Linked DNA regions of Macaca fascicularis. The protein of the gene in region 4 interacts with the protein of the main gene of each other region in a pairwise test. Links are inferred from orthologs where the notes say so. Each region holds a gene or a part of one and is shown on either strand. Other genes may lie near its edges.

Region 1 (4,490 bases), on a different chromosome or scaffold from region 4:
TGTGTAGACTGTTTATTGTGACACCTAGGTTTTCAGTTCCTCTTAGTAGCTTACACTGATTCTTTGAAGCCTACAGGGCTCCTTTGCCTCAGCCCCACTATATACAAGTGCACCTGAGGCACACTGGTTCTCTACTAGGCTTTGCCCACCTTTACAATGGTTCCAACTCAACACTCCACCCAGGAAGCATTGTTTGCAATTGTGGGAGCACTCCAGACTCTTTCAAACTTCTTATTATTCTTACAGTTATTTTGTAGGAATGACCTGGAAAACTTGGTGAGGACTGACTCACCACTGAAGACTGTGATCATCAATCACGTCCCCCTTGAGAGGGGCTCTATGACATGCTGTGGCCCCCATTCCACCCGGTATATGCATCTACCACGATGCCTATCTTATACTAGTGGCCTGTAAAACTCTTAATACTAAGATGTGTTATTACCTATTGTCATTGTTTCCTCAAACAATGGCTTAGAAAATGCTGACTTAAGATAACTAATTGATAAACTGGGCTAAGATAATAGACAGAAATTAAATAAAAAAAAAAATCCAGGTTAAACAGTAAGGTGGGTGGCGGGGGGGCTCTAAGATCAGGAGATGAAGGTGAACACAAGGAGATGAAAGCTGGAACTTGTCCAATGACCCTCCCCAACAAAAATAAAAAGGCATAAAAAATATTTTTATTTTCTATAAATACATTAGGAAATGTATTTCTTCCCAACTCAGTCCACGCCATTAACTGTCAATTTTTTCTACATAAAAAAGATGCTAATACCACCCTCACCTGTGACTGCTAAACAGAGAAAGATTGCCGGGATTATTGCAGGCATTATCCCCCTAGTTGGAAATAAAGGCCCATTCCTGGGGGCAGAACGTGGGATTTTTAGGGGACCCTATAGACGTAGGCAGCCAAGAGTCAAACAAAACAAGCATATGCAATAGTCATAATCATGCTAGTATGACAGTATGAACTAGGTGACTCAGCCAGGCATATACAGGAGTTCGGAGTGAGGATAGTGGAAGCCCTCAAAACTTGCACGTTTGGGCCCTTAGCAGAGACACTTGGTCTGAGAAACACAGTAAAATGTTTGCCTGGATAGTCACGATCATTCTAGTATGAGGTAGACAGGAAGCAGAGCAGGGCTAGGAGCTGGAAGGGGCCACCCTGGCCCTCAGGAGTCCCTGACAAGGGAAGGTCCCTCCATGCTCTCTGAGGGTGGTGGGGCTCCAAAGATCCTGGCCAGGAGCCCTTTGTTGGAGCGGGCCTTGTCCTGGGCAGTCGCCAGGCGAGCCCGTTCACGACCCCCTGGCCGTGCTGCTTTCCGGGCCCTCAGTTCCTGCTCAGTAGGACGTTGCGCAAATGTCCAGGAGCCATCTGGGCGAGCAGGGTCCCCATCGGCCGCAAGAAAGCGTTGTCCCCGTTCCACACTTTGAAGATAGAAGTCGGTCTCACGCTTGGCCTGAGCAACCTCCGCTCTCAGGCGCTGCCTGCGCACCTGGCGCTCAAAGGCAAGGTGCTCACTGAGGTGGGACCAGGTGAAACGGTGCAAGTACTGTGGGCAGAAAATAAGAAAAGATCAGGATAGTGCAGATTAGGGAGAAAGATGAGACAGGGGACAAGACCAATGAGAAGCCATGGGTATACCTGGGCCAGAGCTGGGGAGAAGGGAGGGTGAGAGGTGTGGCAGAAAGATCTATCTCCTCACCTTGAGGTTCCAAAGATCATAACGGAAGGGGCTGCGCCTGCGGGCACCCATAGGCGTGTTGTGTAGACTGGCCGCCACGCGCTTGGCTATGCGCTTGTCACGGAACTCCACCCATCCCTCGGTGTAGTCCTTGCTGTAGGACCGCTTTTTTCCTCCCGCAGCTGCTGCTGCTTTCTTCTTGCGTCTCACGAACCGATCTGAGCGCCAAAGACAAAAAGACCCGTCAGGGACTATGCAGCACTCACTCAAAACCACTTCCCACTGCCCGCATCGTTCTTCACATCTGCCAGCGGGAGTTCCACCTGAGAGTTTTTGCCCAGGAGGGAGGGAACTGTAAATTGCACCCTTTCCTCTAGCTAACTCAATTATTTCCTTAATTGTCCACTCCTTAATCTGGCCGGCTTTGAACGCTATTTAACACCCGCGCAAGTCCCCAACCTCAATGTAAAATTGAGGGTGGAAAGAGGAAGGGCGGTTGATCAGTTTCTTGACCTAGGCCGCGATGCTAAAGGGGTATGTTCAGTTTTGTAGAAAAGCTAACGAGGCTTTTACTCTGTTGTACTCATGTAACAAACCAGTAAACAGATCCGGAAAGAGAGGTGAGCAGGGCCGGGATAAGAACACGAATAGTAACAATCCGAGAACTAAAGAACCACCAGACGCACTGCGCTACCCACTCTCCCCATATCCCCTCCGCCCACCCACCCCAGCATCCTCACAGACTGATTCACCAGCCAGGAGCCGAGCACCGCACTCCCCACCCCCAAAATCCAACAACTCGTGCCTCAGTCTTGCGCAGCGAAGCAACAGGACATCCATGCTTGCACCCCGCCAGCGAGCGACAACCTCCTCCTTTCACCGTCAGGGTCTGCATACTTACCCTCAGCCTGAAAGAAGACGCGTCCGACCTCGCCATAGGCGCTGAGAAGGTTACGGACGTGCAGAGGACGGAAGCGCGGCGGGATATGGCCCAGGTACACAATACCTGGCACTACCCGCTTATTGCGGCCACAGGCCGCTGCTTCGGATTCCTCCTGCTCCTCCTCCGCGTCTAGTGTCTGTTCTGTCCCTTTCAGCGGCTCGTGCTCCGTTGCGGCCTTCTCCGATTCCTCTGCCTCCATGTTGACTGACATGAGCGGCACGACGGCCGTAAAGTGCCTTGCCTACTGACGCAAAACGTGTGCGACGGCCTGAGACGAGGGGGCGGGGCCAAGGCGGTGATGACAAATGAAAGGATATGATTGGCGATGCAGTCGGGTCAAGGGGAAGGCCGAGGGGAGAGGGCGGAAGTGGGGTGTCAGGTGGAAAGCCAGATTTAGAGCGTGGAAGCGGGATAGGAAGCTTGTTTTAGGTTCACAGATTCCCTGTTACATCTCCAACTCAGGACAGGCAGAACCAGAAAAGGCAGATCCCCAGATACAACCTACCCTATAGAACGCCGCTAAAGGCGGGTTGATGCCGGGTTTTTAGGGAATTTTGTAGAGCAGTTTTAGGGAAGTTTCTGTGTGTTCTAGCGATCAAAATAGCATTTTATTCGAGGGCCCTGGTTGCGATTCCAGCTGAGGAATGACTCACCTTTTAAAGTTTATACATTTCATTTAAAAGATTTGAGTTTTGAAGTTTTAATTATTTCTGGAAATTTACCTTGGAATTTTGAATATTTTAAAATTTAATTTTGAAAACGGTTAATTTTGGAAATTAGATTTAATTTTTGAAAATTTAAATTGCGAACTTTCAGTTTAATATTTTACATTTGATTTTGTGAATGTCTGAAAATTTAAATGTGTGACAATTATTTGAATAATTTGTTTGGCATCTATTACACATGTGTATTGATACATTATCCATATGCATACTTACGTTGCAAATACTTGTCAGAGGCGCACACGCCTCCAATTCTGGCGACCCCCCCGGCGGTGCGCTTAGTTCTGCCCTCCCTGGGTCTGTCCTCACAGATTCCCCATCAGATCACAAACCAATTTTCCTTCTATGACCTACGTAACCACAGAACGGACAAGGCCCCGGCGGTCCTGCTCCTACCAGGCTTAGGCGAACCATCCCTAAGCCAAGCCCATAGCCGTTTTCCCCGCGCGGGCTCGAGTCCTCAATCTCTTACCGTCGCCCGAGGGCGCGACCAGCAGGGGGCGCCGTCCCCACCCTTAAGGCGTTTCAGTTCTTGCGATCCGCGCCAGCGACAAGCTGACTGCAAAGGATATTGCTGGGAACCGAGTACAAATAATCCGATTAGCTTTCTGGAAGCAGCCCGGGGCAAGTTTGAGGACCATCAGTATAAATCCGCCCTTGCTGCGGCCTGACAAAATTTCCCATCTCGCTCCAAGAGCGCAGAGTAGCCCAGAGAATGGAAGCAGGGAGTAAATGTGTCCACTATTAAAATCAGGGATGACAGTTTTTGCCAGTCCCCAAGTATATTTCTAAAGTAACAGGGCCCACACTCTTTCATGGAGTGTCTAAAAGTCTAATAATAGATTCTTCGAATTCAAATACTCCTGTTTCATTAACTTTATTGAAGAGAACTTTCTGTCAGGTGTACACTGCTCCTTTTTTGAAGAGGGGAGGGATATAAAAATCCCGTTCCCCACATTCCTCATGATCCCTCCTCAACTTGGTGAAAATTGAGTCTCACTCGACTGTCCGTGAAGCAACCCTTGTTAGCAATTTTAAAGGTGGATTATTTTCCTTCTCTGAGCGTCTTACAAATTCATGTATAGCAAGCTGCACACTGCGTTCTTCAAGTTTCTTTATTTCAGGCCCAGGAGAGACCCT
Region 2 (3,992 bases), on a different chromosome or scaffold from region 4:
CAGAAGGTGGAGGTTGCAGTGAGCCAAGATCGCACTACTGCACTCCAGCCTGGGCGACAGAGAAAGACTCCATCTCAAAAAAAAACACACACACACACACACAAATTAGCCAGGCATGGTGGCAGGCACCTGTAGTCCCAGCTACTCGGGAGGCTGAGGCAGGAGAATCGCTTCAACCCAGGAGACAGAGGTTGCGGTGAGCCAAGATTGCCCCACTGCACTCCAGCCTGGGCCACAGAGCGAGACTTTGTCTCAAAAATTAAATGAAATGAAAATTAATGAGGCATAGGGACACACGCCTGTGGACCCAGCTACTCAGGAAGCTGCGTGGGGAGGATCACTTGAGCCCAGGAGGTGGAAGTTGCAGTGAGCTATGATTGTGCCACTGCACCCCGCCTTGGGTGACAGAGTGAGACCTTGTGTCTTTTGTTGTTGTTTTTAGACAGAGTCTCGCTCTGTCGCCCAGGCTGGAGTGCAGTGGCGCGACCTCGGCTCACTGCAAGCTCTGCCTCCCGGGTTCCCGCCATTCTCCTGCCTCAGCCTCCCGAGTAGCTGGGACTACAGGCGCCCGCCACCGTGCCCGGCTAATTTTTTGTATTTTTAGTAGAGACGGAGTTTCACCGTGTTAGCCAGGATGGTCGCGATCTCCTGACCTCGTGATTCACCCGCCTCGGCCTCCCAAAGTGCTGGGGTTACAGGCGTGAGCCACCGCGCCCGGCCTAGACCTTGTCTCTTTAAAAAAAAAAAAAAAAAGACAGTAATCTGTGTGCCCCCACTCCCTCCCACCCCTGCTCATTGGGGACAGAAAGAGGTCTCTAGGCACCCAGGCTCCTCGCCACCCCAGCAGGCGCATCCCAGGCCCTGTTCCCCGTGCAGAGCACGTCCAGGTTCCCATCTTCCATCCCACAGAGCCCTGTTGGAGGAAGCCAGAAAGCGAAGGCTGCTGGAGGACTCCGACTCAGAGGATGAGGCTGCCCCTGCGCCCCTGCAGCCAGCCCTTCGGCCCAACCCCACCGCCATCCTGGACGAGGTGAGGGGGGCTGCCTGAGTCCCGGGGACTCCCAGGTGAACTAGGGATAACTGAAGCCAGGGGTCAGCTTGACTTTTTCTTTTGTTTGTTTGTTTGTTTGTTTGAGACAGAGTCTTGCTCTGTCACCAGGCTGGAGTGCAGTGGCACAATCTCGGTTCACTGCAACCTCCGCCTCCCAGGTTTAAGTGATTCTCCTGCCTCAGCCTCCCAAGTAGCTGGGACTACAGGCGCCCACCACCACACCCGGCTCATTTTTTGTATTTTTAGTAGAGACGGGGTTTCACCATGTTGGGCAGGATGGTCTCAATCTCTTGTCCTCGTGGTATGCCTGCCTCGGCCTTCCAAAGTGTTGGGATTTCAGGCCTGAGCCACTGTACCCAGCCAGAACTTGACTTTTTCTTAAAAGGCCAGTCTGCATCCTAACTCCTCCACTGTGTGGCTATAGCCCACAACAACCATGATCAGGTGTAAATAAGTGGGCGTTGCCTGGTGCCAATAAAAGCTTTATTTATAGGGTGGGTGCAGTGGCTCTTGCCTGTAATCCCAGCATTTTGTGAGGCCAAGGCAGGAGGATCACTTGAGGCCGGGAGTTTGAGACCAGCCTGGGCAACAAAGTGAGACCCCTTCTTTACAAAATTACAAAAATTAGTCATGGGTGGTGGTGCATGTCTGTGGTCCCAGCTACTTGAGAGACTGAGGCAGGAGGACTGCTGGAGCCCAGAAGGTCAAGGCTACAGTGAGCTGTATCAGTGTCACTGAACTCCAGCCTGAGCAAGAGCGAGACCCTGTCTAAAATAAATAAATAAAAATTAAGGCTGAGTACAGTGGCTCACGCTTATTAATCCCAGCTACTCGGGAGGCTGAGGCAGGAGAGTCGCTTGAACCTGGGAGGCGGAGGTTGCAGCGAGCCAAGATCGTGCCACTGCACTCCAGCCTGGGTGACAGAGTGAGACTCTGTCTCAAAAAAAAACTTAATTTACTAAAACCTGTGCCAGGCCTATGGGTCTGTAATTTGCCAACCCCTGTTTAAGCTGCTGAAAGAAGGGAATGTAAAGAAAGAACATGGAAGTTTATTTCTCAATCATGTAAGAGCCCTGGGCTGACACTCTAGGACTTCCGGGCAGCTCTGCTCCATGGAGCCATTCAGGGATTCAGGCTCCTTCCTTCTCCTGGAGCATGGCTTCCTGCACTATGTTCACAGCTGGCTCAGAGCACCTTCGGGGTCTGGCTGTGGGAAGGCAAAAGGTGCGTGGAGGACCACTCAGCCTCAGATGTGGCCCAGCTCAGTTCTTCTCTCACGCCATAGGCCACAGCACAGGCACAAGGCCCCATCTGGCTGCGAAGGAAACTGAGATGCGTCCTCCAGCTGGTCTGTGCCTGGCTGTGCTGCTAACTAGAACGAAGGGAGGCCAGGCGCCGTGGCTCAAAGTGCTATAATCCCAGTACTTTGGGAGGCTGAGGCAGGCAGATCATCTGACATCAGGAGTTCAAGACTGGCCTGGCCAACATGGGGAAACGCCATTTCTACTAAAAATACAAAAATTAGCCGGGCATGGTGGTGCATGCCTGTAATCCCAGTTACTCGGGAGGCTGAGGCAGGAGAATCACTTGAACCTGGGAGCACAGGTTGCAGTGAGCCGAGATTGCACCATTACACTCCAGCCTGGGTGAAAGAGTGAGACTCCATCTCAAAAAACAAAAAAAGAAGGGGGGCAGGATCTTTGGCAGATGACCAGCATTTTCCACCACAGCTGACTCATCCAAGGTGGCCTCAGCCACTCTGGTTTGTTCATTGAAGAAGGTGGTAAAAGTAGGGGCTCATAAACCAATAACACAGACACACAGAAACGATTGTTCTTTTTTTTTTTTTTTTTTTTTTTTAAACACAGAGTCTTGCTCTGTTGCCCAGGCTGGAGTGCAGTGGTGCAGTCCCAGCTCGCTACAGCCTCAACCTCCTGGGCTCAAGCAATCCTCCCACCTTAGTCTCCTGAGTAGGTGGGACCACAGGCACACATCACCATGCCTGACTAATTTTTCTTTTCTTTTTTCTTTTTTTAGACAGTTTCACTCTTGTTGCCCAGGCTGGAGTGCAGTGGTGTAATCTTGGCTCGCTGCAACCTTCGCCCCCCGGGTTCAAGCGATTCTTCTGCCTCAGCCTCCCAAGTAGCTGGGATTACAGGTGCCTGCCACCATGCCTGGCTAATTTTTGTTTTTTTTTTTTTTTTTTTTTTTTTGAGACGGAGTCTTGCTCTGTTGCCCAGGCTGGAGTGCAGTGGCGCGATCTCGGCTCACTGCAAGCTCCGCCTCCCGGGTTCACGCCATTCTCCTGCCTCAGCCTTCCGAGTAGCTGGGACTACAGGCACCCACCACTACACCCGGCTAATTTTTTTGTCTTTTTTGGTAGAGATGGGGTTTCATCATGTTAGCCAGGCTGATCTCGAATCCTGACCTCAGGTGATTCAACTGCCTCGGCCTCCCAAAGTGCTGGGATTACAGGCGTGAGCCACTGTGCCTGGCCCCTAATTTTTCAAATTGTTTTTGCAGAGATGTGGTCTGGCTGTGTTGCCCAGGCTGGTCTCCTGCTCCTGGCCTCCAGCAGTTCTCCTGCCTTGGCCTCTAAAGGCACAGGGATTACAGGCATCAGCCACCATGGCTGACCCCAAGACAGTTTTCTAAAAGATCCTTTCTTTGAAGCTATATCCCCTGATTCGAGTTCTCACACTGTGGTTCTTGCATAAACCACTCCCAGAATTCATTGTCTACTACTTCCTCTCTCTTTTTTTTTTTTAAATGAATCAACAGAGTAAAGCTACTTTGAAAGCAGTCCAACCTTTTATGATGTATTCCCTCAGTCTTGTGCCTGTACCTGATTTTATCGCAGGTGTTTTATTTGGTTTTACATGATACACCTTCATCAAGACTTTTCAAACCTTCACCCTAACTTTTATAGGAAGGAATATCT
Region 3 (3,992 bases), on a different chromosome or scaffold from region 4:
TCATACTTTCAAACAGTGTACCAAATAATGTTTTGAACTTTAGATCATTTATTACATGAGTCTAGCTAAGATTTAAAAAATACAAAATGCAGCACAAAGAAATGATTATGATCAATAGGTAAATGTTAAAGAATACTGTTTCAGGCCTGAGCAATTCCTTTGGAAAAAGTATTTAGTAGAGCAGTAAAGACTGATAGGACGCCTCAAAATTCTTAAGTTCACATGTACTTCTTAACAAATATACCTTCCATTACAAGGTTCTATATTATAGTTTTTAATGACAAACTTATTAAACATTTGGGAAAGGTCCACTTCCTTAAACCTCTTCTCCAAATCAGGAACAGTTTAGACTGACATATTTAACAGGTACATTTAGGCATGGTGTAGGAATCACGTCAGCTGGGATTTGTGGTATAGGTCCATTTTATTGAAAGTTTTATGACTTTACCTGATGAACCATTAAGGACTGGACCTGCCGTTTGAGGACCTGCATTCTAGCTGTTGTGACAACTGACCGAACGTCTGGCACCACACTCTCACTAAGAATTTCACTGATGAGGCGGTGGTTTCTCTGGAAACGGGCGGTGGCTGTATGCTTCATTGAAAAGCCATCATCATAATCTGCAATGAACAAATTGTTCTGCAAAGTAGGTCACCAGTAACCATAAAAAGGAGTGTAACATGTTAACACTTAATTATCAAGGAACCATGGCCCTTGCTGGCCTAACAAGGGGACCTGACCAGCGTCATGGGAGCACTGGGCAGTTACTTGATAAAAACCATACAGAGGACGTAATGTGTTCACTGGCCAAGGTAGTAATTTATCTCACAGTCTTTAAGTGATGATGTGTGTCTGAGAAGGCTTTGGCTAAAACATAAATGAGATACAACATGTCTCTTCTGGCTTTGGAATCAATGTGAAGGCTGCATGTGATGGCAGTAATTGAAATTCTGCCCAATGTTTCACTTTCTTGGTAGTGACTTAAGGCATTTAACAACTAACGAACAACATATGAACTGGGCAGTGACTTTATGAAAATGCCAATTCGTAAAATTATCACAGCAGAGGAAACATCATCTCTAACAATATTCAGTTTCCCAGGCCCTCAAGGAATTTTATAGAAGAAAAATAAATGTTTTGATTCCAAATTTAATTTTTGTCAGTTTACACTTAGCCAGCTGTACGGGTCTGGTTTATATGCTTCTGTTTTGTTTTGTTTTGAGACAGAATCTCACTCCGTTACCCAGGCTGGAGTGCAGTGGCCCAATCTCGGCTCACTGCAACCTCCACCTCCCGGGTTCAACCGATTCTTGTGCCTCAGCCTCCCAAGTGGCTGGAATTACAGGCACATGACACCATGCCCAGCCAATTTCTGTATTTTTAGTAGAGATAGGATTTCACCATGTTGGCCAGGGCGGTCTTGAACTCCTGACCTCACATGATACGCCCATCCTGGCCTCCCAAAGTGCTGGGATTACAGGTGTGAGCCACTGCGCACACCCTATATGCTTATTTTTAATAGGTATCTAGTGTTTCCTTAATCTCAGTCTTTGCTCTATCGCCTTCATAGTTTTTCATATATCTACTAACAGCCTGTACTATTGTTTACTTAATATTTTTCTTTAAACTAACTCATTAAAAAAAAAAAAAGCTTTCTCTGTAGCAATACATACAAAACAAATGCTCCTTTTTGACCCACTTAATCACCTCAGTGTCCCACCAGACAGGGAGGAACCATACTTGAGCAAACCTTGTTACAGAGGAAACCCTGTTACAGAGGAAACCCCATTACAGAGGAAACCCCGTTACAGAGGAGAAAGCCCGTTACAGAGGAGAAAGCCCGTTACAGAGGGAACCCTGTCACAGAGGGAACCCTGTCACAGAGGAAAGCCTGTCACAGAGGGAACCCTGTCACAGAGGGAACCCTGTCACAGAGGGAAGCCTGTCACAGAGGGAACCCTTTCACAGAGGGAACCCTGTCACAGAGGGAAGCCCGTCACAGAGGGAAGCCCGTCACAGAGGGAAGCCCGTCACAGAGGAAACCCCATTACAGAGGGAAGCCTGTTACAGAGGGAAGCCTGTTACAGAGGACACCCTGTTACAGAGGGAAGCCTGTCACAGAGGGAAGCCCGTCACAGAGGGAAGCCCGTCACAGAGGAAACCCCGTTACAGAGGGAAGCCCGTTACAGAAGGAAGCCTGTTACAGAGGACACCCTGTTACAGAGGACACCCTGTCACAGAGGGAAGCCTGTTACAGAGGACACCCTGTCACAGAGGGAAGCCCGTCACAGAGGGAAGCCCGTCACAGAGGGAAGCCCGTCACAGAGGGAAGCCCGTCACAGAGGAAACCCCATTACAGAGGGAAGCCTGTTACAGAGGGAAGCCTGTTACAGAGGACACCCTGTTACAGAGGGAAGCCTGTCACAGAGGGAAGCCCGTCACAGAGGGAAGCCCGTCACAGAGGAAACCCCGTTACAGAGGGAAGCCCGTTACAGAAGGAAGCCTGTTACAGAGGACACCCTGTTACAGAGGACACCCTGTCACAGAGGGAAGCCTGTTACAGAGGACACCCTGTCACAGAGGGAAGCCCGTCACAGAGGGAAGCCCGTCACAGAGGGAAGCCCGTCACAGAGGGAAGCCCGTTACAGAGGGAAGCCCGTTACAGAGGGAAGCCTGTTACAGAGGACACCCTGTTACAGAGGAAACCCCGTTACAGAGGGAACCCTGTTACAGAGGAAACCCTGTTACAGAGGGAAGCCTGTTACAGAGGAAAGCCTGTTAGAGGGAACCCTGTTAGAGGCCTTTGTGGTGCTCCTATGTCAGTTTAGCACCTCTCTTATTGTCTTGCACTTAAGCAGTTCCTAAAATTCTCATTATCATAAATACTATAGCTAAAAACTGTTGTTTTTGTAAAAAGTTAAAAAAATTACTTTTCTTTCCTTTTGAGTAATTCCTTTAGGAAATAAACTTCTGAAATTAAAACTATTAGGTAAGATACAGTTTTTTAAAAACTCTGTAATCTTTCTACTTTTTAAGAGTTTTTCACCTTTAGGGTTATATGTGGTATATCTGTGCTACGTCTGTCTAAGTTATCTGTTTTTGTTATTTTTTATTTTCTTCTTTCATTTATATGGCCCCAGTGTTGACCACAGATGGGGTAATAAGGTCTAAGAATTTGGGCTTGTTCTTCCTTGCATGTAAGTCATCTGCTTCCTTTTTTCGGGGAATGGCTTTTCTAATTATGATCTAATTGAACAGCTATTTATCCCATGAAGAGGCTCTCATTGAACAAAAGCCTTCATTGTCTTGTGTAGATAATTGCACATGCCCTCTTTTTTTTTTTTTTTTGAGACTGGGTATTGCTCTGTCATCCAGGATGGAGGGCAGTGGCATGATCATAGCTCACTGCAGTCTCGAACTCCTGGGCTCAATTGATCCTCCCACCTCAGCCTCAGTTGGAGCAGCTGGGACTACAGGCACAAGCCACCATGCCCAGCTAATTTTTAAGTATTCTGTAGAGATAGAGTCTTGCTGTGTTGCCCAGGCTGGTCTCAAACTCTTGGCCACAAGCAATCCTCCTGCTTTAGTTAAAAGTATTGGGATTACAGGCGTGAGCCATGGCGCCTGGTCATGTCTATCTTTTGATAGTCCTCTGTTAAAGAAGTCAGTAGCTGCTGTACTTCATGCAGATGCCACCTTTCTCTTATGTACATTTGACATACATTTCCACCTCCCAAGTCTTCCTCTAATCATTTTCATACTGGCATGCTAAAGACATTCTCATACTGGCATCTTAATTACTACCTGAACTTACTTACTAGCAACTTTAAGACCCACCCTTAAAGTTAAAAACATAATAGGCCCAAGTTTGAGACTGTTTCTGAGTGAATCTCTTCAGTCCTTCTGAATGTTCATGGTGTTAATGAAAGCTTTAGTTATTTTCTACTTACGTTGCTAGCCTTTGTTTCCTCTTGTACTGACCCCCATCCTC
Region 4 (3,992 bases):
GGATTATAGGTGCCCGCTACCACGCCCGGCTAATTTTTGTATTTTTAGTAGAGACAGGGTTTCACCGTGTTTAGCCAGGATGGTTTCGATCTCCTGACCTGTGATCTGCCCACCTTGGCCTCCCAAAGTGCTGGGATTACACTGCACCCGGCGTGAGCCACTGCACCCGGCCAATATATAACATTCTTAACATGGCAAACTTTCCATTAAGCTCAAGGCTTCTTAGAGAGACCATGCTTTTACAGCATTTTCTAAAAATAATTGGCTTTTATACCCAGTATCCTATTAAACATTAAGGAAAAATATCAGGCCGGGCGTGGTGGCTCATGCCTGCAATCCCAACACTTTGGAGGCCAAAGCAGGAGGATCACTTGAGGTCAGGAGTTCAAGACCAGCCTGGCCAACATGGTGAAACCCCATGTCTACTAAAATACAAAAATTAGCTGGGTGTGGTGGCGCATGCCTGTAACCCCAGCCACTTGGGAGGCTGAGGCATGAGAATTGCTTGAACCTGGGAGGCAGAGGTTGCAGTAAGCTGAGACTGAGCCACTGCACTCCAGCCTGGGCAATAGAGTGAGACTCTGTCTCAAAAAAAAAAAAAAAAAAAAATTCAGTAGTCAGTAACACTGTGGGACGGAGGAAATAGGCCAGTAATAAGATATATGTTCCTTTTAAAAGCACCAACTGTCAGATTATGTAAGGGTTCTTCTAGGAAAACTTGCAAAATGTGGTTTATGTGGTATACATTGTATGTTTCCCTTCACATATGCTGTAATATAAAACTGGGGGTCAGGTGTGGGGAAAGTTGCTTTAACTATAGCTACAAGGTTTTGATAATTTTCTAAAAATACCAGGTTTATGTTAGAGATGCCTAGTCTTTTAAAAAAATCCTTAGCATTTATCTTCTAATCAAATAAATATGCTATTAATGATTATTCAGTGGTCTATGGTAGTGTCCTAAAAATAGGACTTATTGATACGATCAGAACTTACATGATGTTGCTAACAAAGTTGGAATTTCTCCATATATAATATTCCCTGAGAACAGGCTTATGCTGAAGAGTTCCTGACCTTCTTTATAGGCTTTACAATCTATTTTTATCTTGAAAATACTTGGCATTTCCTCCATCCCTAAGGGTTTGAGATTATCTTAGATTGTCAAGTTACTTAAAAGATGCTATTCCAAGGCTGGGCACGGTAGCTCACACCTGTAATCCCAGCACTTTGGGAGGCCAAGGCAGGTGGATCACTTGAGCCCAGGAGTTTGAGACTGGTCTGGGCAACATGGTGCAACCTTGTCTCTCTCTATACACACACACACACACACACACACACACACACACACACACGCACACACACACACAAATTAGCTGGGCGTGGTGGTGTGTGCCTATAGTCACATACACACAGAAAAGATGCTATTCCAAACAGGGAAGGTAAATAAGTTTTAAAAGTCTTTAATTTCACCCCTCCATGAATTCTGGATAATATTTATTTTTATTTTTATTGTTTAGAGACAGGGTCTCACTGCATTGCTCAGACTGGACTTAAACTCCTGGGCTCAAGTGATCCTCCCACATCAGCCTCCCAAGTCGCTGGGACTACAGGCGTGTGCCACCATGCCCGGCCATTCTGGATGATACTTTGTAAACTTTTAAAACAAATACCTCTGGAGGTCTTCAGGTCCTAATACCTGCATAATCTGCTCATTCACATCTTCATTAATCAGCCTACAGAGTTTTCCAACAGTGCTTACCAGCACACACAATGAAGATGAACTATCTGCAAAAGAGAAATAAAAGGATATTTTAACAGAGAATTTTCAAAATTACATACATCAAACATTTTATGCTTCAGTTATCCTCAATTTTTTTCACTTAAAAATTTTTTTATCGGCCAGGTGCGGTGGCTCACGCCTATAATCCCAGCACTTTGCGAGGCTGAGATGGGTGGATCACCTGAGGTCGGGAGTTCAAGACCAGCCTGACCAACACGGAGAAACCCCGTCTCTACTAAAAATACAAAATTAGCCAGGCATGGTGGCGCGTGCCTGTAATCCTAGCTACTCGGGAGGCTGAGGCAGGAGAATCGCTTGAACCCGGGAGGCGGAGGTTGCGGTGAGCCGAGATTATGCCATTGCACTCCAGCCTGGGCAAAAAGAGTGAAACCCCGTATCAAAAAAAAAAAAAAAAAAAAAAAAAATTATCTACTTTTTGTTAATTTACTAAAAATTCTTAAATGGGGGCCAAAAATGACAAACTAGGTCATCACCTAATTCTAAGAGTTCTTGGAGGTTTCTCACAGCATTGTTCATTTCTCCAAGCCTAGTATAAACTTCATTCATTCGGGGATAGACTCCATTTAAAGAAGGCACATCAAATAACTTTTGGAAGTGAGAGACAATAGCTTGCAAAGTTTGAAAGTTTGGCATATTGCTGTCCTGTCCAAAAGAGAGGTAAAAAATAAAGAGTTCATATCTTAAAATAATCCCAAATAAAAACTTTTAAAAGACAAACAGAACTCTAGTAGAACAAATATTAATATCCACATCAAATTATCAATTTTTGAGATAAGAGAACATTAGAATGTGACCATTTATGTAAGTATTACCTTTTCCTTATTTTCAACTTCTTCCAACATAGTATCTACTATAAACAACAAATCTTCAACTTTGATACCTTCATTTTCATCCTGCTTCTTCAAATTATGCCAAGGTACCAGTTCTGCAGATAGTGTTTTCAAGGACTTATACAAATCCTTTATAACAAAAGAAACTATATGGTATTATTGATTTAAAATAATACTATTGAAAATTAATTTCAATAGTAACATAATAGAACATAACAAAATTATAAGTTTTATATATGTGTTATAAAATTAATAAAAAATTACACAGGTTAAATTATATATATATAACCATCAGTATTGTTTAATAAAAACACTATTACCGATTTAGAACAAGTCAGTTAAAATTAGGTTTCTCCAGGTAAACACAGGCTTTACAGAAAACATTATACACTGATTATTCTGAATCTGGGTGCTCTAAGTAATTTTATGTTATTTATTATTGTTCCATATTATTTCATTATTTTGAATTATTGATACACAAAGAATAAACTTGCCTTTGTATTTTGGTTTTGAGTATGTTATATAACAGCTTTATTGAGATGTAATTCATATACCATAAAATTTACCCTCATTAAGTATACAATTCAGTAGTTTTAATATTTTCACACATGTACAAACATCAGCACTATCTAATTTCAGAACATATCCATTACTCCAAAAAGAAATCTCAGACCCAGTCACAGTCCCTCCTTCCCCATTTTCCCTTCCCTGCAGTTCCTAGGGTTGATCTCTAAACTACATTATATTTCTAAGGATTTGCCTATTCTGGGCATTTTGCATAAATGGAATTATACAATAAGTAGTCTTTGATGAATGGCTTCTCTCACTTAGCATAATGTTTTTGAGATTTATCCATGTTATAACATGTATCTCTAGGCAAGTTTTCAATGTGAAAGGTTCCCCAAATTTATTCTACATTATAATACTCAGTTTTCTTGGCCTAGTTGTGGTGCCCTAATTGATTTTAAACTGTGCACAATGGGCAAGGCTACTGAAAGTTTAGAGCTCTAAACTGATCAACTGACAAATATTTACTGAACATCTACTACAGGTTGAGAATCCCTAATCTAAAAATCTGAAATGCTCTAAAATCTGAAACTTTGAGCAACAACATGACACTCAAAAGAAATGCTCATTCGAGCGTTTTGAATTTCGGATTTTTGGATCAGGGATGCTCAAATGGCATATATTCTGCAAATACTCCAAAGTCTGAAAAAATTCTTAAAACACTTCTAGGCCCAAGCATTGTGGATAAGGGATACTCAATCCATATGTGTATGGCACAGTGCTTGGTCCTTCAGAACAATGCTGTTCAAAAGAAATGTAATGTGAGCCACAGGAATTTTAAGTTGTCTAGGGCCATA
Region 5 (4,754 bases), on a different chromosome or scaffold from region 4:
TACAGGTCAGGGTTTTACTTTTTTCAAGGCTGTATGAATCTGCTTCACTTCTTGAGATTTTAAGATTCTTGAAAGATCTTTCAGATTGACTTATTTTCTGTATTTCCTGTTTCCATAATGTTTGCCAAATTGATAGTAGGTACCATTGACTTCTCCAGTATAGTAATAGATTGATTTCAGGATGACATTATCATGTAAAATCTGCCCAATTTCAAAATCCTCATCCAGGATAGCATCTTCTCGTGGTTCCAGCTTCCCAATCATAGGAATCTCAGGAGGACTAAAGAAATTGAAGAATGATGCATTAGGAACCACTCTTGGCTGGATTTCAATTTCTCCAGTAGCAGTTGTGCGACTCTGAGTAGTTGTCACAGTAACATCTTTTCCTCTTCTCCAGTCTATCTTGCAGCCTTTGCAATCTTCAATTTCCCATCCCCAAGAAAAGAAGGGATCATTGTGATCTGGTTTTGACTTTATTATATATGTCTTCACCAGCACCTCATTTCTGAAGTATGGATTGGGTAGAAAATGAAATTCAAAGGTGTAACTTACAGGCTGGCCAGGTTTTGAGAACTTCAGGCTAACATCCGACAAGAACTTCAGAATGGGCTCATCATACTTCTGAATCATAGGCCCGAGCTTGTCAACATTCTTTAAAACAATCAGCCAATAGTCAGGAATGCCTTTAGGGTCTTCTCTTTTAGGCTTTCCCCTCCTAGCTCTTTTAAGATCTACACTGTCCTGAAGCCTTTCCTCAGGAACTCTTTTATGAGCCTCTCTTACTGCAGCCCTTGCCTTAGCCTCTGTTGCTTTAGGCTGTTCTTTATCATCTGCCTTTACCTGGGGGGCTTCTTTAGGATCTTCTTTTACTTCAGGGGTTGCCTCCATACAGTCTGCTTTAGAATCTGCTTTTTCTTCAGCCTTTATCTCAGGGATTTCTTTAGGAACTTCCTTTTCTTCATCTTTTACCTCAGGAATTTCTTTAGGAACTTCCTTCTCTTCAGCTTTCACCTCTGGGTTTTCTTTAGGGGTTTCTTCTTCCTCACCCTCTAAGGGAGGCATTTCACTAGGGGTGTTATCCTGCACCTCCTCATCACTGCTGAACTCCTCATCCTCTGAATTCCATTCACATTCTTCTTCTGTAGGCTCGTATTCTGCATTGATGATTTGAAACCGCCTATCATATAGAGGCTTGTTGAGTTCAGCATATTTTCTTTCAAGATCATGAATTGCTTTTAAGAACAGGGTGTCTACCTTGTCACATTCTTCTTGAATGTTTCTAAGCGCTTGCACACGATTTCTAACTGCCTGAGGCAGCCTATCCACGAAATTTGTTCCCAAGGGGGCCCGCCGCGCCCTGCTGGAAGGCTCAGGTACCCTCTTCTTTCTATATAAGCGGCTGCGGCTGCTAGTGCTGCCGCTGCTGCTGCTGCTGCCGCTGCCGCTGCTGCTGCTGCTGCTGCCGCTACTGCTGCTGCCGCTGCTGCTGCCACTAGTGCTGCTGCTAGAGCTACTGCTGTCAGATTCTTCCCCAGAATCACTAGTCGAGCTAGCCATCTCCTCTTCGGCAACCCCATGGGCGACGGGTTCCGAGACCATTTTAAAATCTGCTTCTGCCATCTTGCAAGCCTGAAAAACTCTACCGCGGAGACCGCGCGACCAGAGATGGGCAGAAAATGACTCACGGATGCTTGAGTGGCGGCGGCGGAGGCCCGGGCTGCGGAGGTGGCAGCGGCGATGGCAGCAGCGGCGCAGAGCGGAGCTGGAGCTGGGGATGCAGAGGCCGGCGCTGAGGTGGCAGCGGCAGTGGAGGCCTGGGCGACAGCGGTGGCGGCAAGGCCTCTCCCGGCTGCAGCTACACAGTGCCGAGATGTACCGCAGCCGAATGGCGCAGTATGAGACCCCGAGATCTCTTCTCGTTTTAGATCGCGAGCCCCCTCCCCTCGCAGTCAGACCTCCCGTTAATTTCGTTCCCAGTGTGCCTTTAGTTCGCTCCTCATTTGCTGGTCCACCTTAATTGACAAACCGTACGCCCAACGAACGGCCAAACGCCACTACTCCTGGCTCCGCCCACCTTCCCAGACGCTGCTCGCCGGCTGAGGTGCGACCCCCTGGAAGGTGTCCCCGAGCCCCCCAAAAAGTCTATATTTATAGTTTTATAATTAAAAGAGGAAAAAAAAGCGTAGACATGAGGTAAAAATACCAGCCATAGTTCCTAACAAGGGCAGAAGAGGCGTGTCTTCCTTCTCCCATCCGCCCATCCTGAATTCCCGTTTAGTTTGTCACGGGTCTCTTGACAAAAATCTGTAAAAGAAAAAAAAAAAAATTGAATGAAAATGGTCCAAATGGCGTCATTGGGTAGTGTGACTGTGGACGATTTAAAAACAAAACGATTTTCTCTAAATATTCTATGAGCAGTATTTTTACACTGGATAAAAAAGGGGAGAGTCGGTTATTGGCAGAGGGGGGAGGGACTAGACAGCAGGCGTATTGCATTCCACGAAGCTGATTTAATAAGTGCTGTCTGTGATGTTTGGCAAGCCTGGTTTATATCCATCTACAAGGTTTGCGAACCCATGTTGCCGTGAGTCAGTTACACCATTTTTATTATATTTCTCTTTTTAGGCTGGCATATTATATACCCCAACCTTGCTGCTAACTTGCCACGTAGCCCTTCTCAATGCTTGCAACAACCTTGTAGATAAAACAAAGAGTGTATTAAATGTTAGGTAGTATTGTTAAAAAGCAAATGATTTGCGTTATACTTTTGTGCAGCAGGTTTCAATTCCAAGAACAGTGGGATGGGAGGGGGAATTTGTGCTAATGAATGTGCATCTTCTGTCAGTGTATGCGATGTCATCTGCCACCAATTTCCTTCTAATGTTGTAAAATTCTAGCCATACTATAGTATGATTTACAAGTCCAGTAATATGTGAATAAACTTTTGCAAAATGAAGTTTAAAAACGGGTATTTGTTATTTTTATTTACAGGATTTTTTTTTTCTGCTACAGAACAACTACCTTGGTACAATAAAAAAGACGAGTATTTACTTTTCATTGAAAGGTAAGGATCATATTTAGCACATTTTAAAGAATGACAAAAATTACTCATCTCCATCTGAATAAAAGTTTACAGGATGCAGTCATTTAGAGATTTATTTTAGATAATAATCTTGATAATTCTATGGAAACAGGAAAATCCACAGAGGTAATTTGGCATACTAATGTAGACAATAGCCTACTTAACCACATTAACTATCTTAACCTGGTCATAGAATACAAGTTGTAAATTAAAATATGAAATATGATAAATTATTCATTTCAAATGAGGAACTGTATTAAAGTTAGATTAATCTTTATAGAATTTGTGCTTTGTCATGTAGTCACGTTTTTAAAAGTTATGAAATGCTTTTCTGTCTCATAAATGCATTTACTTTTATTGCATATCTCTAATTGTCAAAGTCTGTGAACATTGCAAAGATAAAACCTCAATACAGAAAATTCCAACAGTAGTAAAAACACACAATCTTAACCACCAAATGATAAGAATTACTAGCATTTTGATGCACTTCCTTCTAGAAATTTCCTTGTGCATATACATACCTGCCTATTTATGTATACTGCTTTATCTATGTGATACCATATTATGTTTTGTAGTCTTTTCATTTAATTTATCAGTTACTAATGGCTATATTTTCATGGCAAATGATCAACATCTTATTTTTAAATAAGTGCATATTCCATGGAAATAATTGCCTTAATTTATTTGAACAGATTCCTCTTATAGGGTGGCTATTTCTATACCATCTCTCCCCTTATATACATACTATTTTCCTGCTATAATAAAAGTGTCCCTGGATACCTAAAGCATATATTTCTATGCACTTCTGAAAATTGGTCATAAGATAAATTCCTAGAAATGAATGGCCTGGGAATGATCATTTCATATTATGGAATTATTATTGTATACATATTGCCAAACTCTCTGCAGAATGATTATCACAATTTACAGTTCCAACAGTGCATAAAGGTTCATTTTTTTTGTCATTCAGCTAATATATTTTTGTGCCTGTCGTATGCTGGGCAAATGTGGTAGAGAATTGTAGTATAATGGTGAATGAAACTTACTAAGTGCATATCCTTTCGATGAATAATTTTAATCAAAGCATATGTTATAGAAACAATGATTTACATCAATGGTGTTATACCATAAATATTGTTCTGAGACTCACTATTTCTTTTTAAATTATGGAGATTTTACAAAAAGTATGCTCTTATGTTTTAAACTTTGTAGCATCAGGAATTAGTATTTTAGAGTGAGTCATGAGGTAGGGATCCAGATTTTTAAAATACTTATTTTTATTAGCTAGCTAATTCTTCTAGTACCATTTATTTGGTAATCTTTCTATCTCCTGCTTACTTGAAATGCTACTTTGATCACATTAAATAAATTGCTTGGGTCTGTTTCTAAATTATTTTCTGATCCATTAGTTGCAAACAACTAATGAGTCGGTGTTAAGATAACTTTACATTTTGTGAAAATGATATGTGTTCATTGATAAAGTCAGACAATACATTGAAATACAAAGAAGAAATTAAAAGTAACTCAAAATAAAACTGAGAAGTAATCACTACTTACATTTACATTTGTAATCAACATCTCCAAATTAATTTATCAATATTAGTATTTGTATTTCTTAGATTAGTGGTAAGATTGTGTTTTCATATGTTTATGTTTATTTGAGAACTGTCTA
Region 6 (4,590 bases), on a different chromosome or scaffold from region 4:
CCTGACTTGTTCCCTAGTGGTACTGGGCAAATCCTGACTCTGATGGTGCCATTCCCACCCATCCCTCATACCCCAGGCTATAGCCCCAACCTCAACCTCCCACCTGTTAACTGCATAGCCTCACTGCGACACCATGAGTACTGAGAAGGATACAATCTCATGTCTCATTCATCACTGCACTCTCAGAGCCCAGCACAAGTCCTGGCTCACAACAGGTGCCAAATACCTGTCTGCTGAAAAGAAACTCCTCATCTGCTATTGCTGTTTCCTCTACCCAGAAGCCCCAACCTAGCACCTTCTTGGATCAATTCTCACATAGAGGCAAGCCTAGGCTGTTTGGGAGGCTGGGAACGGGTAACTCACCGTCTTTCATACTCCATGTCCTGATAGGGCCTTCGGGGGCTGCTGGGGCCCCTCCTCAGCCGCTGGCTCCGTTTCACTTCCCAGCCACCCCCGCTGCTGCTACCATGATCTGCCAGCCTGGGTGATGCTTCCTGCAGGGACTCTGCGGAGAATAGAGGGAAAAAAGGGGTCAAAACAGTTGGGACAGAGAAGGCCTCCTTGAGAAACCCTCGTTGTCAAGGCTCTTTGCCGCCCCTTAGCCCAGGGACATTGTCTTCTAGCTCCCAGCACTCCTGTGCATCACAGTGTGAAGGTAGCCCCTACTTGGCCTGCTCCTCCCTTTCCCCGCAAACATGAGGCTAGAGCCCACTGCCTTAAAAAACAGCAAAGACGGCCGGGCGCGGTGGCTCAAGCCTGTAATCCCAGTACTTTGGGAGGCCGAGACGGGTGGATCACTAGGTCAGAAGATCGAGACCATCCTGGCTAACACGGTGAAACCCCGTCTCTACTAAAAAATACAAAAAACTAGCCGGGCGAGGTGGCGGGCGCCTGTAGTCCCAGCTACTCAGGAGGCTGAGGCAGGAGAATGGCCCGAACCCGGGAGGCGGAGCTTGCAGTGAGCTGAGATCCGGCCACTGCACTCCAGCCTGGGTGACAGAGCGAGACTCCGTCTCAAAAAAAAAAAATAAATAAAAAAATAAAGAAAACAGCAAAGACTTCAGCAGACAAGGGGCATCTTGCAGAGAGACCTGGCGGGGCCACCCACGGTGTGATCAGGGCTTTGCCACCTAAGACAGGTAGACAAATTCAAGCCTGGGGCTGCATCCCAGGGTGGCCGTAGGGATACTCTCAGGGCTGAAAGTCTTGCCTGAGATTCAGCACATCAGGCAAGACTTCACAACAATGGGAGCCCCAGGCACCCACCAGGCTCCTTCCATGGGCCCCAAGGGACCATCTCATCCTCCCAACAAGCTGCTGGCTGTCCCCTATAAGGCAGCAAAAGACCATGAAAGGTTCTTGGGGGTGTGTATGAAGGGGCTAACTTGGCAACGAGACAGCTGCTACCTCCCTGGGCTCCTGGCCAACACAGCCTTGGCCCTCACACAGCAACTGGCTCAGCCCTGAGCCCTGTCTCCTATGTGCAGCCAGGTCCCAAGGTGATTCCCTCCCCAGGGCTCAAGCCCGTTTTCCAGAGGCAAAAGGGGCCCTTTTGGAGGCTGTTCTGAACCACCGTGCTCTTCTACTGGGATGGAGCAGCAGCCACTTCATCCAACCCTCAGGGCTGTGGTGAGAACTCAAGGAGTCCTGAGAACCCTGTGACCCAGCCAGAGGTCAGGATGAATCCCAGATCTTCAGGCTCCACCCTCTGAACAGGAATCAGGTAAAGCCAGGCAAAAATAGCACCTGCCCAACACTAGGTTGCTGCCACGCCTTTGCTCTATGCGCGTGCACATACACACACACAGACACACGCACATTCCAACTTTCTCTTCCTCCTCAAGCCACAGGGAACCCGAATTACCTGCTCCCAGGTGGGCAAGAGTTAGAATCACACCAGAGGCACTGGCGGCTGAGAGCACAAAAACCCTCAAGAGACTCTGGCAAAGGGGCCAGAGTCACACAGTAACATCCACCACAGCCAAGGGCCAGTCACAGACACGAGCCCCAAATAACTACGGGCCCACATCACAGAAGGAATCCACAGTAAGGACCACAATTACACACTAGGTCCTCTTTCCATGGATGAGCGTCACTCTCACAAACTCCCCAAAAGAAGGGGCAATGAGTCACACACACATTCCCTGCATCCCCCTCCCCACCCAGTAAGTGGGTTAGGGTCAATCACAAGACAGTCGTCCCCCAAGCCCCGCCCCATGGATAAGGATCTGAGTCACAGACACTCTCCCTCAAAGGGTAAAGACCAGAGCCACATCCTCCCTCTGATCCCCCAGGAATAAAGACCAGAACCACAGAATATTTCCCAATGGATCGATAAACACCAGAGTAACACAGAGCAGCATCCCCTCTCCTATGCACAAGTCGCAGACAACCGCTTCCCCAATGATAAACTTCGGTGTAGCCGACACAGTGATCCACAGTAGCCCACTCCCATTCGTCCCTCCCTTCCCCCAACCCGCACGCACCCATCCCATGTCCCAGTCGCGCACGCGCCTTTGCTCACACCAAAAAAAAAAAAAAAAAAAACCACCAAAAAAAAAAAAACAAAAAAAACCCCTCCCGGGTACAGACATTGCACGAACCCCTCCGTTCCGCGCATCCCACCGACCCGAAGTCCGCCCTCGCGCCTCCTCTACGTCCCCGCCCCGGGCCCCTTACCTCCGCCCCCACGACCAGCGTCGACGCTCACCTTCTCGGCCCGGGCTGTCAAGGGAGGGCTCCCAGACATCACCTCGGCCCGCCGCCACCTCCTCCAACTCTCCCAGCTCAGCCGGAGCCGGAGCGCGCAACTACCAAGTCCGAGACTGCAGGCAGATCGGGGGGAGGGGAGAAGCGCCAAGCGCGCTGCCCTCCCAAGGAAACTCACTGCCGCCTACTCCCAGCCGGCCAGTCACCAGCTCAAAATGGCGACGACGAGAAGGGAGTCGGCGCTCCGACCACCATCCACCTACTAAGGAAGCGCGCTCTGGCCGGCCCCGGCGATTGGTCACCGCCCGCCAGGGGACAGCCCTGGCCTCCTCTGATTGGCAAGCGCTGGCCACCTCCCCACACCTCCCCACACCCGTGCGAACGCTCCCCTAGTGGAGAAAAGAAGTAGCTATTGGCCAATCCGGCAGGGCCCGCTTTTTAGAAGCTTGATTTCCTTTGAAGATGAAAGACTAGCGGAAGCTCCACCTCTTTCCCCAAAGGGCGAGGGAACTCTGGGCGATTGGCTGGGAACTATATCCACCCAATGTCACCGATTTCTTCCTATCCAGGAAATGAGCAGATCCATCAATAAGAAATTTCTCAGCCTGGCCGAAAGGGGGAGAGAATGGTTGGCCCCACGAAGCCACGACAACTGGAGGCAAAGAGGGTTGCTCAACGCCCCGCCTCACTGGAAAACAAAATCAGATCTGGGACCTATATAGCATGGCGGAGGCGGAGCGATAATTGTCGCGCTCTCACCCACTGCAGCTGCGCACAGTCGCATTTCCGTCCCCGCCCCTCAGACCCTGCAGCACCATCTGTCATGGCGGCTGGGCTGTTTGGTTTGAGCGCTCGCCGTCTTTTGGCGGCAGCGGCAACGCGAGGGCTCCCGGCCGCCCGCGTCCGCTGGGAATCTAGCTTCTCCAGGACTGTGGTCGCCCCGTCCGCTGTGGCGAGAAAGCGGGCCCTGGAACCGACCACACAGTGGCAAGAGGACCCAGAACCCGAAGACCAAAACTTGTATGAGAAGGTAAGAGGCGGGGGGGGTGGGGGGGGACGGAACCCTGAAGGGGTCAATCCGGGATCGGCAGGTGGGGCGCTGTAGAGGACGTTCTTAGGCAGTAGAGGCCTGCGCGGCCGGCGAAAGCCTAGAAGACTTGGGAATTTTGCCTATCTTGTGTTCCTCCTTTATCTGTGGATATCCGCGTTCCAGGGCCAGAGGCAGGACTGGTTTTATTTTGCAGACAGAAATCACGCCTCAAGTGGACAGCGCTCAAAACGCATTAGAAGCAATATAGTAGTACAACAACGATAATACTAAACACCGATATGGTACTTGCTCGTTGCTGTCTGTGTTCTTTTTTTTTTAGAGACGAGATCTCGCTCTGTTGCCCAGGCTGGTCTCGAACTCCTGGCTCAAGCGATCCTCCCGCCTCGGCCTCCCAAGGTGCTGGGATTACAGGCAGGAGCCACCGCTCTGGGCCCCATCTGTGTTCTAAACACTTGATGTGCATTAGCTCATCTTATCCTAAAAACAAACCCCATTTCGAGGTAGGCACTATTATTATACTCATCCTACAGATAAGGAAACTGAAGCACAGAGCTGTTAAGTAGATTGCCCTAGCTCACATAACTGAATAAATGGTGGAGGTGGAACTGGTATTTGAATTTAGGGCTACCAGGTCTGCTGTGCTGTATTAATAGCAGACGCTGTGAAATCAGGCAGCACTGACAGTTACCTACCCATGTGACTTTGGTGGCATAAACCCTTGGTGCCTCAGTTTCTTTGTCTGTAAGATGGGAACAGTAATAGGACACCTAAAAAGTAAGACACCCCACCTGCCTCATGTGATTAAATGAGTAAAAATGGTCGGAACAGCA
Region 7 (3,871 bases), on a different chromosome or scaffold from region 4:
CCTCCAGGGTTCAAGCGATTCTCCAACCTCAGCCTCCCGAGTAGCTGGGATTACACACGTGTGCCACCACACCCGGCTAATTTTTGTATTTTTAGTAGAGACAGGGTTTCACCATGTTGGCCAGGCTGGTCTCGATCTCCTGACCTTAAGTGATTTGCCCGCCTCGGCCTCGCAAAGTGCTGAGATTACAGGCGTGAGCCACTGAGCTGGGTTGCAATTGCTTTAAAAAGAATTAATTAATCCTTCCATGTTAGGCCCTGCCTGGGAGATACTGGAAGTCTGGGGACGCTGCCCCAGTGTGGTGATGGGGAATGACCTGGGACTCGACTGCTTCTACCACTTCAGTGTCAGCTGAGGAGACTCCTGGGGCCCAGGACAAGGCACAGGCACAGAGGCTCCTCGGTGAAGGGCATGGGGGGCACTGCTCCCCCACTGGCCTCAGAAGCCTGCTTTTCAGAGCAGCAGGTGGGCTCTGGATTCTAGCAATGGACACACGGATCCTTAACCCTGGTTAGTATCTTAACACAGGGAGAGCTATACAAAAAACTAGCTGGGCGTGCTGGTGGGCACCTGTAGTCCCACCTACTTAGGAGGCTGAGGCAGGAGAATGGTGGAACCCGGTAGGTGGATCTTGCAGTGAGCTGAGATCAAGCCACTGTACTCCAGCCTGGGCCACAGAGCGACACTCCGTTTCAATAAATAAATAAATAAAACACAGGGAGAACTGGACTTTATTGTAGCCACAGGGCAAACTGCTGGAGACAGACCCATGGGCCCCGACCATTTCCACCACCCCAGAAACCTGCCGTGTGCGTGGTATCACGGACAAACAAATCACAAGCACACAACTCTCTGATGAGTTCCAGAAATCTGATGAGTGCCAGGTGGGGTGCACATTTGGGAAGATGCCCCAGCGTGGCTCTGAAGGCTCTGAAGGCTCTTCCTGGGGGAGGCCTGCTCTCCGCTGCCTGCTCCTTCTAGAATTCAAACCCCAGGCAAAGGCAGCTGGCCCCAGGCCAGATAGCTCCTGGCTTCCCAACCTTGAGCTGTGCAGTCATTACCTAGGTGCAGGCTGGGCTACAGGGACAGCCAAGCTGAGAAAGGACAGGTCCTCGAAGCCTAGGCTGGGGCACTGCTTGGTTCTTGGTCTCACTCCCCGCTGTGCCGTGCTTTGCCTGTCAGACGGCGGCGCTGGGCCTTGCTGGTACGAGTGGCCCTTGGGGGCTTCTTGGAGTCCTGGGTCCGTTGGGGATGTTTCCTCTTGACCTTTTTGCGGCTGTGTGCATGCAGTGAGGCTGTGAGAGAGGAGATCCTGGGGATGGGCAGAAAGCCTCAGTTTAAGACTGCGTTGTGGAGTGACTCACCACCTGGCTCATGGAGGGGATGTCAGGACAGGTTGCAAATGCCAGGACCACCAAGTTCATGCCAGAGTTGGCCTGCTCTACCTCCAGAGTGCTTGCCAGCAACTCAACTCAGAGAGACAGGCCCTTCACCCAGGCATGAAAGGCATCGGAGGTCAGACACTCTCAGGGGTGGGTGGGACAGGATGGGGCAATGAGGAGAGGCTGAGGATCACTGGACAGGCAAAGCAAAGGGCTGCTCCGGGCCCTACACCTGCTCCACACCACCCCTAAGAGCCAGGTCACTACTGCCAGCCAGGAGGGGTGGGACCGGGAAGGCAGCAGGCCAAGACTCACCGCTGAGAGAGCAGGGGGTCTCTGGACTTCCTGGGCAAGGCTTTGGTTGGCTTCTCCATGGATGACGCCGCCTCCTCAGACCCGTCTCCAGACCCTCCCTAAAGAAGCACAAGACAGGTAGCAGTAGCTCGGGGGGCCTGGGCTGGACACCCCGAGCCACCATGGCTCTGGCAAGTGCATCATAGGCCTGGAAGGGGACTAAAGAAGGCCTCGGATGGAAGAACAGTCTATCTGTCCTAAAGCAAGGATTACACAGGGGAAGGCCTGTTTCCAAACCCTCTCCTGCCCCTAGAAGCTTCCAGTACGTACTTGAACATTCAGGAATGAAAATCCTAGCAAAATGGGGACAAGACTTGTCTTTGTATCAGACCTTGCAGAAGAATGAGCGTAAAATGAAAGACTGGTGTGAGATCAGTATGGTTTGGTTTGGTTTTGTTTTTTGAGATGGAGTCTCGCTCTGTCACCCAGGCTGGAGTGCAGTGGTGCGATCTTGGCTCACTGCAACCTCCACCTCCTAAGTTCAAGCGATTCTCCTGCCTCAGCCTCCCAAATAGCTGGGATTACAGGCGCACGCCACCACGCCTGGCTAATTTTTTTTTTGAGACGGAGTTTCGCTCTTTTTGCCCAGGCTGGAGTGTAATGGCGCAATCTTGGCTCACCACAACCTCTGCCTCCCGGGTTCAAGCTATTCTCCTGCCTCAGCCTCCCGAGTAGCTAGGATTACAGGCATGTGCCACCACATCCAGCTAATTTTGTATTTTTAGGAGAAACGGGGTTTCTCCATGTTGGTCAGGCTGGTCTCGAACTCCTGACCTCAGGTGATCCGCCTGCATCGGCCTCTCAAAGTGCTGAGATTACAGGCATGAGCCACTGCACCTGGCCCCCTGGCTAATTTGTATACTTTTAGTAGAGATGGGATTTCACTATGTTGGCCAGGCTGGTCTCAAACTCCTGACCTCAGGTGATACACCCACCTTGGCCTCCCAAAATGCTGGGATTACAGGCGTGAGCCACCGTGCCCAGCCCCAAGATCAGTATGGATGTGATGGGGAGTGGCTCCAGGACTTAAGGACACGATAACCCATTCAAGGAAATATGTTTTATATCATAACTGTGTGCATATATGTCCATAAATTCTTAGGCAAACCCAGATACAACTGCAATGGAAACAGCTGTCTCATGAAATAATATTTAACATGATACTTTCAGATATTTTCAATTACATTATTTTTTTTTTATGCTGGTTGCAACCTACTCATGATTCACCACCTACAGGTTGAAAACCCACTTAGTGCACACAGACGTGCCAGGGCTGCAAATCGCACAATGGGAACGATCACAACAAACAGCTACCTTTTGTGAAGCTTACAACAGGGCTGGGCGCTGCGCCAAGTGACTCACACAGATTAACAACTTTTATCCTCACACCAATCCCACAAGGCAGGTGCCACCATCAGCAACCCCCAGTTCACTGATGGAGAAAGGGAAGCAGGCAAGGTGAAGGAGCCTGCCCAAGTTCCTGAGCTGCTCAGCAGTGGGGCTGGCCTCTGCAGCGCCCCAGAAGCAGGGAATGAAGGGTCCAAAGGGAAGGAGCCCCTGCAGTGGGGTACCCACAACATGGGCCAGCACTGAGCAACCCTGAGAAGCCAGTCTGCCCCCACACTGCTTCTTCCCAGGGCTGAGACTGGGACCTACCTCAGGTGGGGTCAGCCCGAGCAGCCGGGCCCCTGAGAGGTCCAGGTCACTGATGGTGGTCACGGTGACTGTGTGGTTGGGGTGGTCATACTGCACCGACTCCGTCTTTGCTGTCACCAACCGGTCCAGCTCATCTGCCTCCTCTGTGGGGGTGGACACAGACCTGGCGTCAGCCAGGGGAACGAGAGACCAGGCTCCAGCCTCCCTCCCTCCCGGGAGTGCAATGCCTCCTCTACTCTGTGGATGTGGAGCGCATCCACAAGGTCACTGGCTGTAGAGCCTAGTCTGCGGATGCATGTTGTGAATGATCCTGTTTCCTTCATGCTCTAGCTGGTTCCCATGTCAGACAAACCCTCTATGACAGCTACAGCTGTCCCTCCCCTCCGCCCCTAGTCCTTTCCATCCTCAAAAACTGGGTTCTCGGCTCATGCTTGGTTAACCATGGGGTTTGGGCCTCCTTCTCCTGGTCTCTGTTCCAT

The links.
Region 1: the proteins of CEP70 (region 4) and ABT1 interact in a two-hybrid assay, tested with the Homo sapiens proteins (2 studies listed by BioGRID and IntAct). The two-hybrid records come from large-scale screens. The link is inferred for Macaca fascicularis from reciprocal best matches to the Homo sapiens genes CEP70 and ABT1.
Region 2: the proteins of CEP70 (region 4) and YJU2 interact in a two-hybrid assay, tested with the Homo sapiens proteins (2 studies listed by BioGRID and IntAct). The two-hybrid records come from large-scale screens. The link is inferred for Macaca fascicularis from reciprocal best matches to the Homo sapiens genes CEP70 and YJU2.
Region 3: the proteins of CEP70 (region 4) and SMARCE1 interact in binary tests that used the Homo sapiens proteins (3 or more experiments, as listed by UniProt). The two-hybrid records come from large-scale screens. The link is inferred for Macaca fascicularis from reciprocal best matches to the Homo sapiens genes CEP70 and SMARCE1.
Region 5: the proteins of CEP70 (region 4) and FAM133A interact in binary tests that used the Homo sapiens proteins (3 or more experiments, as listed by UniProt). The two-hybrid records come from large-scale screens. The link is inferred for Macaca fascicularis from reciprocal best matches to the Homo sapiens genes CEP70 and FAM133A.
Region 6: the proteins of CEP70 (region 4) and RBM10 interact in binary tests that used the Homo sapiens proteins (3 or more experiments, as listed by UniProt). The two-hybrid records come from large-scale screens. The link is inferred for Macaca fascicularis from reciprocal best matches to the Homo sapiens genes CEP70 and RBM10.
Region 7: the proteins of CEP70 (region 4) and NOL12 interact in binary tests that used the Homo sapiens proteins (3 or more experiments, as listed by UniProt). The two-hybrid records come from large-scale screens. The link is inferred for Macaca fascicularis from reciprocal best matches to the Homo sapiens genes CEP70 and NOL12.

What each region holds. Positions count from the first base shown.
Region 1 is NC_088378.1:146,290,819-146,295,308, forward strand, and holds ABT1 (activator of basal transcription 1), read right to left. Parts: upstream 2,835-4,490; 5' UTR 2,828-2,834; coding exon 2,587-2,827; intron 1,904-2,586; coding exon 1,707-1,903; intron 1,554-1,706; coding exon 1,173-1,553; 3' UTR 661-1,172; downstream 1-660.
Region 2 is NC_088393.1:5,001,426-5,005,417, forward strand, and holds part of YJU2 (splicing factor YJU2), read left to right. Parts: intron 1-909; coding exon 910-1,030; intron 1,031-2,121; exon of another isoform or gene 2,122-2,258; intron 2,259-3,992.
Region 3 is NC_088390.1:61,716,075-61,720,066, forward strand, and holds part of SMARCE1 (SWI/SNF-related matrix-associated actin-dependent regulator of chromatin subfamily E member 1), read right to left. Parts: intron 622-3,992; coding exon 449-621; intron 1-448. UniProt on the Homo sapiens protein: Involved in transcriptional activation and repression of select genes by chromatin remodeling (alteration of DNA-nucleosome topology).
Region 4 is NC_088376.1:41,339,162-41,343,153, forward strand, and holds part of CEP70 (centrosomal protein of 70 kDa), read right to left. Parts: intron 2,758-3,992; coding exon 2,611-2,757; intron 2,441-2,610; coding exon 2,272-2,440; intron 1,783-2,271; coding exon 1,668-1,782; coding exon of another isoform or gene 1,655-1,667; exon of another isoform or gene 1,442-1,654; intron 1-1,441.
Region 5 is NC_088395.1:100,196,504-100,201,257, forward strand, and holds the start of FAM133A (protein FAM133A), read left to right. Parts: upstream 1-1,620; 5' UTR 1,621-2,101; intron 2,102-2,328; exon of another isoform or gene 2,329-2,584; intron 2,585-2,991; 5' UTR 2,992-3,064; intron 3,065-4,754. Other genes in the region: NAP1L3 (nucleosome assembly protein 1-like 3), read right to left, coding at 91-1,620.
Region 6 is NC_088395.1:47,252,451-47,257,040, reverse strand, and holds the start of RBM10 (RNA-binding protein 10), read right to left. Parts: upstream 2,974-4,590; 5' UTR 2,750-2,973; coding exon 2,680-2,749; intron 506-2,679; coding exon 364-505; intron 1-363. Other genes in the region: NDUFB11 (NADH dehydrogenase [ubiquinone] 1 beta subcomplex subunit 11, mitochondrial), read left to right, coding at 3,533-3,739. UniProt on the Homo sapiens protein: Binds to ssRNA containing the consensus sequence 5'-AGGUAA-3'. May be involved in post-transcriptional processing, most probably in mRNA splicing. Binds to RNA homopolymers, with a preference for poly(G) and poly(U) and little for poly(A).
Region 7 is NC_088384.1:13,944,942-13,948,812, forward strand, and holds the end of NOL12 (nucleolar protein 12), read right to left. Parts: intron 3,536-3,871; coding exon 3,393-3,535; intron 1,796-3,392; coding exon 1,698-1,795; intron 1,313-1,697; coding exon 1,150-1,312; 3' UTR 714-1,149; downstream 1-713. UniProt on the Homo sapiens protein: Multifunctional RNA binding protein that plays a role in RNA metabolism and DNA maintenance. Participates in the resolution of DNA stress and the maintenance of genome integrity by localizing to sites of DNA insults.